2 linked regions of the Notamacropus eugenii genome follow. Each later gene encodes a partner of the first gene's protein in a complex. Links are inferred from orthologs where the notes say so. Each region holds a gene or a part of one and is shown on either strand. Other genes may lie near its edges.

Region 1 (3,911 bases):
CTGCTGCTGGCAGTTTCATCCTGCTTCTGACATTAATTCGGGTAGAAAGCTGCATCAATGCACACACACACACAGAGACAGAGACACACACACACACACACACACACACACACACACACACACACACACACACACACACACACACACACACACACACTTTTCTTACCACCTAAAGGAAAGAACACCAGGAGATCCAACCCTGCAGGGAGAGAGGCTGGAGTAGAGTTGGGAGTCTGAGGCACCAGGTAAAAAATTGGGGGGGGGGGGCCTCTGTATACATCAAGTGTATCAGAGGACATACATTAGTTCTGAGCCCAGGTGACGAAGAGAGGCTGGAAAAAAAAATTCGCTATGCAAAAAAGTATATTGAAAGAGGCAAAGTATCAAGCAGGAGAGGAAATTGACTTCACAGAGGACCCCAAATAGACACTGTTCTGGCTTGGCTGGCTGTCAGCAGAGCTCTGCTGAGATCTAGCTGTCCTCTCCAAGGGCACCGAGGGGGCTCAACTGCTAAGGCTAGATGCTCCGAATGCGTCAGGGAACCCAGTCCGGCGTTTCCATCCCAGTCCAGATGAGGACAAGAGTCCGGAGCGCCGAGGTCTCTCCTCCCCCCACAGGAAAAGCTTTACAATGCCGAAAAACAAACATCTGAGCGGGCACGCTAAGCTTTTACAAGTTGCAGGGAAACTCCGACCCAGTGCCTCTGGTGTTTTCATTCATTCCCACAATAGCGAGTAAATGGCTGAATTCCCTTTTCCTGACCTCAGTCAGATCGGAGGGGGCAGCAAAGCTTTCCATTCACCCTCACACACTAAAAGCCCACGTTTAGCTCTTTTATTTTCATCTTTCAGGTTGCACAAAGGGAATGGAAGCAAAACTCCCTCCTCTCCCGGGAGGTGGTGGAATATAGGTGAGGAATGCCTCATTTATCACGGTCAGGAATGGTCAACATATGTTACTTAGCTGTTACCTTCTTTGTTGGAGAAGGAATGGGTTTTTTTGAGCATTTTTTTAAAGGACACTCTTAAGAACTAGGGTCCTAAGGACCATTTACCACCAGACGGCCACCCAATGCGGGGAGAGGCAGGGAGAGGATGGTGCAGATTAGCAGGCGCTCCATAGATATTTGCAGCATCGAGGGATCAAGGTTCCCTCCAAGTTCCAAACCGCTGCCTGTCGGTGCATGGGGACTTTCCTAGAATCCGCCTTTAATACTAGATCAAAATGTGCTTTTTGGCGTCTCCTCCTACTATCCCACTTGCTGCGCGCCAGTTTCCCTCTTGGGAATCCCTAGATATCCTAAGAATCCAGGGGGCCGAGGAGGCACCGGCCGCAGGTCCCTCCCGCAGCCCAGCGCCGGTGCCTCGTCCTTCCACTGGGAGCGCGCGCCGCTTTAAGTTGGGGAGCGCACCGGGTAAATGGCTCAGCGCCTTCCCTCCTCCCGCGCGGGAGCCAAAGCGCAGGACCCAGCGGCCCCCTCCCACCGCGTCTGGAAGGAGGAAAGGCGGGAGGGATGAATGAGCCTTGCAGCCACCCCAGCAAGGAAGTGGGACGGGATTATTATTATTTTTAAGTCTGCAGCCTCCTTTATGGACACCTCTGGCCGCAGGATGTGCAGCCCCAGACCCGCACGCTGCGGGTTCCCAAGGTTAAACACCAAAGGAGCGTGCAGTTCATTTCCAAAGGCCAGAAGAGGGGGACGGTCCGGAGGTACGCCGGCCACCGCGGTGGGTGACTGCAGGAACCAAAGGGTCTGCCTCAGTCCGTCCCCTGTCCTTCCACACCCGCGTTCCCCCGGCACAAAGGGTGCCCGAGGCTTTGCACAGCAGGCAGAGGCGGCTGGAGGCCAGGAAAGAGCCCAGGAGGGCCAACTTTCCCTTTCCACCGAGCCCAGAACCTGCTGGACTCGGACGCGCCGGCCGCAGACAACTTTCAACAAAAGGAAGCTGCGGCCGAACGCCTTCCAACGTGGAGAGCTCCAGTTTCACGATCCATCCCCCGGCCCTCCGCACCCACGAGCTCCACACAAAAGAAATCCAAAGGCACCCCCGCGTCCGTCCCCCGCAGCCCCCTCTGGCCCAGACTCACTCCCGGTGGCTCCCTCTCAGCTCCACCCGGCCCAAACGCTTTGTTTCTGCCCAAGGGAGCAGGTACACCCTCCTAAGCGCAAGTAAAAGGCTCGGGAAACCCAAAGGGAAGTCTCATGCGTGCCTACCCCTCCAGAGCCCTCCGGACCCGGGGCGCACGAGAACCGCCAGGACCTTCACACGCTCCCCCGGAGCACAGGTTTTGCAAGGTGGATAACATTCCCAGGAAAAATAAGAGGGGGCAGAAGGTGCGTGTAGGTAGCAGCTAACCCACCTGTCTGAAAGCTCAGCAGAATCAGGAGACCCAGCAAATCCCAGGCACCAGGAGCCCCGCTCATCCTGCAGCTGCTCGGGGTCGGAGCTCAGCTCCGCGGTCCTCCTGCAGTCCAAATGCACCCAGCGCGGCACACCAGCGAAGCCCCCGGAGCTGGGAGCCGGGCGAGCAGAGGATAGCCAAGGAGAGCAGCCCCTCCTCCAGCGCCCTCCCCCTGCGCGGCGGCCACGCCCCTCCTGGCTCCCCTCCTCTCCCTCTCCCTCTCTCTCTTCCTCTGGCTCTCTCCCACTTCTAACCCCTGCCAGCCCCCCGCTCGGCTCCCTCTCTCTAGACGTGCGCACTCCCGATCCGGGAGGAGGTCACGATTGGACACCTTCTCCCGCCCCCTTCCAGTCCTCCGGAGCCGCCTTCACCTTTCCTCGGCTGGGCTGTGGTCTGGACGCCGGAGGTGTTTACCGGACTAGGACTGCCTTGCCCGAGTGCTTGGTGAAGCCATTGCCCTGCCCGGCACCACCTGCTAATGAGCCATCGGGGCGGGTGCCTCCACCTGGCAGGTGCTCACTCAGACAATAAGGCTGCTAGGCGCCCGGGCTAGGGACCTGTTCTGGGCTCAGCCCCTGACCAGAATCCCAAACTGACCACTGCAGTTCTCTGCCAGTTCAAGTCATCCGAGGAGGAGGAGGCTGGGAGCCAAACCTTATCTACACTTCCAGTGCCAAGCACAATGGTTGAGAGGGCAAGGCGCTCGATTTAAAATTTAAAAAAAACAAACAAACAACTGATGTTAATTTTCTCCAACTGTATTGTTGGAGGGAAAATGTTCGCTTCTAAACTCGAGGGCTTAACTCTAGCCCGGGAAGCCCCTGCGCTACACTGAGGGCTACGTTTCCGAGATTGGAGTGGGAAAAGGGATTTTTGTAAAGTGTGGGGAGAAGAGAGGATTAAAATGATTGCTCCAAGCCATCCTGAACCCCCTCTTCTTCTGTTGTCTTGTTTCTTAACCCCTTCACAATGGTCACTGTTCCCTATTGACAAAGAGGACCATGCCCATTTCTACGGTCTTTTCAGCATTTTCTCCCACCTTTCAGACTTGAGAGAACAGTACGATTATAATGAGGGAGGCTGGAGGGCTTCTAGCACCTTCCTGTCTATGGACCTTCCAATTCAGGCAAAAATTATCCCACATCCCACGTCCACAATCTCAGGGGATAGTAAGTAAGTGTAGAGAAAGAATGCCCAGACACTCAAATGGGTCAGTGATCTCTCCCTAATGAGGTGCAAATCTCAACTCATTCATGCCTGCTCACCCTCCTCACCTCTTTTCTTCCCATAAATTTGCTACAGAAGTCCAGTCAACATGGGGGGGTTAGGGTGAAAGTTAGGTTAAGGTTTAGGATTAGTGTTATAACATATGCATACATATTTGGTAATTTAGCAAGAACAGAAAGAAAAGAAAACCCATGTATATAATATGTGACTATCTAGAAGGGTCCTAACTGTAAATACCCAGGTTCTAAAATAATGCATTTTTGAACCTAGAATGATTTAAC
Region 2 (3,911 bases), on another chromosome or scaffold:
ATGAATGGAGGGAGGAGATGGAGTACCAAGTGTGGGGAATAGATAATTGTATAATTTGGCTGGAATGTAGAGTTTGTGAAGTGAATTAATATGAAATAAAGCAGAAAATGTAGGTAGATACCAGATATTGGAAGGCTTTAAGTGCCAGGTTTATAAGTTAATATCTATTCTAGAAGTCAGAGGGAACCACTTAAGCTTTTGGAGCACATGGATGATATGACAAAATCTGTAATTTAAGAAAATAATTAAAGTGGAGGACAGATTGAAGGGTGTTGAATGGGAAGTCCAGAAGCAGGGAAATCATTTAGGAAGCTATTACGATAATTCGGGCAAGAGACAATAAGGATAAAAAAACAAGTTGATAATTATGGGAGGGAAGAGGATTGTAGTGAGAGATGTGGAAGATTTGATACAAGATTTGATAACTGAATATGGGGGATAAAATAGACAAGAACAAAGAATGCTTCCAAAATTACAAACATGGATGACTAGGAGGATGGTGGTGTCTTCAACAGAAGTAAAGAGGTTTAGAGGAGAGGAAAATTTAGAAGGGAGAAAATCATGAGTTTTATTTTTGACAAAGTGAATTGGAGATGACAAAGGGATATACAAGAGAAATATGTTCATCAAATAGCTATGCTCTCTCCCTCCTCGATATTTCTTGGGTCATACTTAATTTCTGTACATGTTGCATCACTTCTCTCACAATATGTTTCATGAGAGCAGGGATTATTTCATTTTTCTCGTGTTCCCAATGCCTAGAACAAAGCTTTGCCCACAGTATATGATTAATAAGTGTTTGTTGGATTGAATTTAATTGAAATATGTCACCAAAGTTCAGGAGAGTGATCAGAGCTAGATTTCAGAGTCATCTGCATACAGATGAGATGAGACATGATGAGATCATAAAGAGAGAAATTGTCAGAAAAGGATAGAAGTATGTCCAAGGCAAAACTCTGGGGGAAACCCTAGCCAAGAGGAAGAGATAGGTGATGGTCCAGTAAAGAAAACTTAGAAAGTTAAATAGGCAGGAGTAGAACAAACAGAGCAGTATCAAGGAAGCCAAGATAAGAAAGGACTCAAGAGGAGAGGAAGTAAACATTGACCAAAGCTGCATAGAGATAAAAAAACAATGGGGACTGAGAAGAAACCCTAGAATTGGCAACAAAGAAATCATTGGCAGACTTTGACAGAGCACTTCCATCATGATTAAGGTAGAAATAAGATTGTAAGGATCTGAAAAGTGATTGGTTGGTGAAAAAATGGTATAGGTAACTGGCTGTAGATGATTCAGATAAATGGCTTTATAAGCATCTTGTTTTCAAAGTTAATCTTTTGACTTATGTAGAATTCATGTCTTCTTCCAAAGTTGTCTTTTTCTTCTCTTTGGCTAAATCTTTCACTCCTGTTTTTGTTTTTAATTTTGTCTATTATTTTCTTCTTTCAGAATCTCTATTATTTGAGATAGTCTGCCGTGTTCTAAACTGTCTCCTCTGTGATTTTTTTGTTCATTTCTTCTTTAAGAACTCTTATTTCTGACCTAGTTACAATCATAATTTCATATTGAAATGCATTTTATGGTATGCATTCATATTAAATTCATATTAAAATGCATAAGTAACATTTCTATATTTTTACCAATAAAACTTTCAGAAGAGGGTGGTGTTTGTATCTTAAAACACTCATATGCTGAATATTAGGCAGAAAAGATATTGCCTCTGGATTCACTGCTCACCAATCATTTGAACTGGTTGTTGCATGTAAATAGAGCCTTCATCACTTGAAATATCTGTTTCTGATCCATCGTCTGATTCTAGTGGTCATTGCACAACAGACAGCTGGTCTGTACCACTTTAAGTCTACAGAAGTAAGTGTCCATCAGAATCAATTTGTCAATCAGGGAGTCCAACTAATTCACAATTGGCAGCAAATGATTGCAGTGAATTATTTTTACAGGACCTTTGCCAATCTCTAGTGATATTTTGTAAACAGGAAAGTCTTCCCACAATTAAGTATGGAGTAATTTCCATCAGTCTGTTAACTTGTGTATCCCATGAACATCAAGGTTTCTTAGCAGAACTCTGTCATCATGTTGAATGTCTTGACAGTGAACATGGACATGATATTGTCATTTATTTCCCTCAGCATCCTTCTGAGTTAAGATTGTAGCTAGAAAGCAAGGTTCTTTCAGCTACTCTCATTTAAGAGGTCATGAATATCTGTAGCATCTCCTTTCTCAGAGACTTGTTGCTCAGTCGTTTTTCAGTTGTGTCAGATTTTTCATGATCCCATTTGGTGTTTTCTTAGCAAAAATATTGGAGTGATTTGTCATTTCCTTCTTTAACTCATTTTACAGATGAAGAAATTATGGCAAATGGGTTAAATGATTTGTCCAGGGTCACACAGCCAATTAAGTGTCTGAGGTCAGATTTGAACTCATTAAGAGTGCTGGACTTTTTGTCAGGGAGACCTGAATTCAAATCTGACCTCAGACACTTAATTAGCTGTGTAATCCTGGGCAAGTCACTTAACCTCTTTCAGTCTGAATTTCCCCATCTGTAAAATGGAGATAATAATTGAGTTTACCTTGAAGTATTGTTGCTATTGTGATGATGATGCTGATGCTGTCAGTGTCCCTAACATTTTTATTAGAGTGTTATTAAAATCCTCAGGTTGTGAGTCTACTTTAGGGTGGTAAAGTGTCATTCTAGACTTCTTGATAGCAAAGACAACAACTTCTTGATAAGTATATTTCCAAAGTCCTTATGGACCCTAGTAGAAAGTTCATACATAAAGAAGTGTTTTTCCATAGTACCTTAGCTACTTTGGAAGCTTTCTGTTTTCTGGTTGGCTGTAACTTTGCATATCTAATGAAATGGTTAGTCATTACCAATATATGACTTATGTTCTTGCTATCGCTTTCCAAAGATAGTTTGTCAATGTAGGGAAGTTTCAAAGGTTTACTAATATTTATATTCTGCAAATATGCAGCAAGAGTTGGCAATAATTTTCTTTGAACACGTCTTATACCTCTTGGGGATACCTGAAGTCATTTTTAGGTGAGCAAAGTCGGTTTCTTAGTAGCTCTCAAATCCTTTCTTGTCCTATATGTCTAAGTCATCATGAGAAGTTTTTGCAGTCATAGAAATATGAATTTGATAGCACCAACTACTTCCTGGTGCTCTGTATGTGAATATTGATCATCCAATCCAGTACTGCATTGCATCCTTCCAATTTTTGCCATTACCTCAACAGTACAATGTCTTCAACTGACTGGTTCTGACTTTATGGACCTGCTTCTTGGTTCATATGACTTTATATATTCATTTATCAGCCTTTTGCTCTCTTCGCTAACCATTTGTTCTCTTTGCCACAATCAACTAAGGCAAAAAACGTTGGTTAAATGCAGTAAAATTCATGTATGCTGCTGGCATGCAGTCTAATGGAAGCCCCAAACTTTTGTTTCTACTTACAGTTGCTTGTATATAGTCGAGTTCTTTGGGTATCACATATAGCTTTTACTATTTCTATTGGTTTCACCAAGGCTTTGCTGTTTTGTGACTTTCTAGATGGGAGATCTGCATCCACATTGGTCCCTGGTTGGTAGTGAATGCTCAAGTCAAAGTTGAATCCATTTCTGGCAAACAGCATCCAATGAGGCACTGGTCAAAATATATCAATAGAATGCTATCTTTCCCCATTTGTAACTATGCTTCATATATAATGTCTGAATTTCCCAGTAACAGCCCACTCCCGTGCACAGGTAAAAATCTGTGTAATTGAGGTATAAAGCTCTAGGGGAAAAAATTCTGTCTGCAGAAAGAGGAGAACAAAGAAGGGATGGAAGAAGGCACCTCAACCTCTTTCTTATGCAGACAAGGGTGAAAAGCCCATTTCCTCTCAATTATGTT

What was found.
Region 2: the proteins of KIT (region 1) and SOCS6 are in contact, whole or in part, in a crystal structure (PDB 2VIF), measured with the Homo sapiens proteins. The link is inferred for Notamacropus eugenii from reciprocal best matches to the Homo sapiens genes KIT and SOCS6. Residues at the interface, in NP_000213.1 of Homo sapiens: Asn566, Asn567, Tyr568, Val569, Tyr570, Ile571, Asp572, Pro573, Thr574; in NP_004223.2 of Homo sapiens: Arg391, Glu395, Arg409, Asp410, Ser411, Ser412, Asp413, Ser419, Phe422, Thr428, Leu429, His430, Thr431, Arg432, Phe442, Tyr443, Glu444, Gln445, Val448, His460, Asp464, Ala469, Phe470, Cys471, Tyr472, Ser473, Arg474, Ser475, Arg476, Thr482.

What each region holds. Positions count from the first base shown.
Region 1 is NC_092877.1:106,137,098-106,141,008, reverse strand, and holds the start of KIT (mast/stem cell growth factor receptor Kit), read right to left. Parts: upstream 2,555-3,911; 5' UTR 2,426-2,554; coding exon 2,362-2,425; intron 1-2,361. UniProt on the Homo sapiens protein: Tyrosine-protein kinase that acts as a cell-surface receptor for the cytokine KITLG/SCF and plays an essential role in the regulation of cell survival and proliferation, hematopoiesis, stem cell maintenance, gametogenesis, mast cell development, migration and function, and in melanogenesis.
Region 2 is NC_092875.1:216,251,620-216,255,530, reverse strand, and holds the start of SOCS6 (suppressor of cytokine signaling 6), read left to right. Parts: upstream 1-966; 5' UTR 967-1,214; intron 1,215-3,911. UniProt on the Homo sapiens protein: SOCS family proteins form part of a classical negative feedback system that regulates cytokine signal transduction.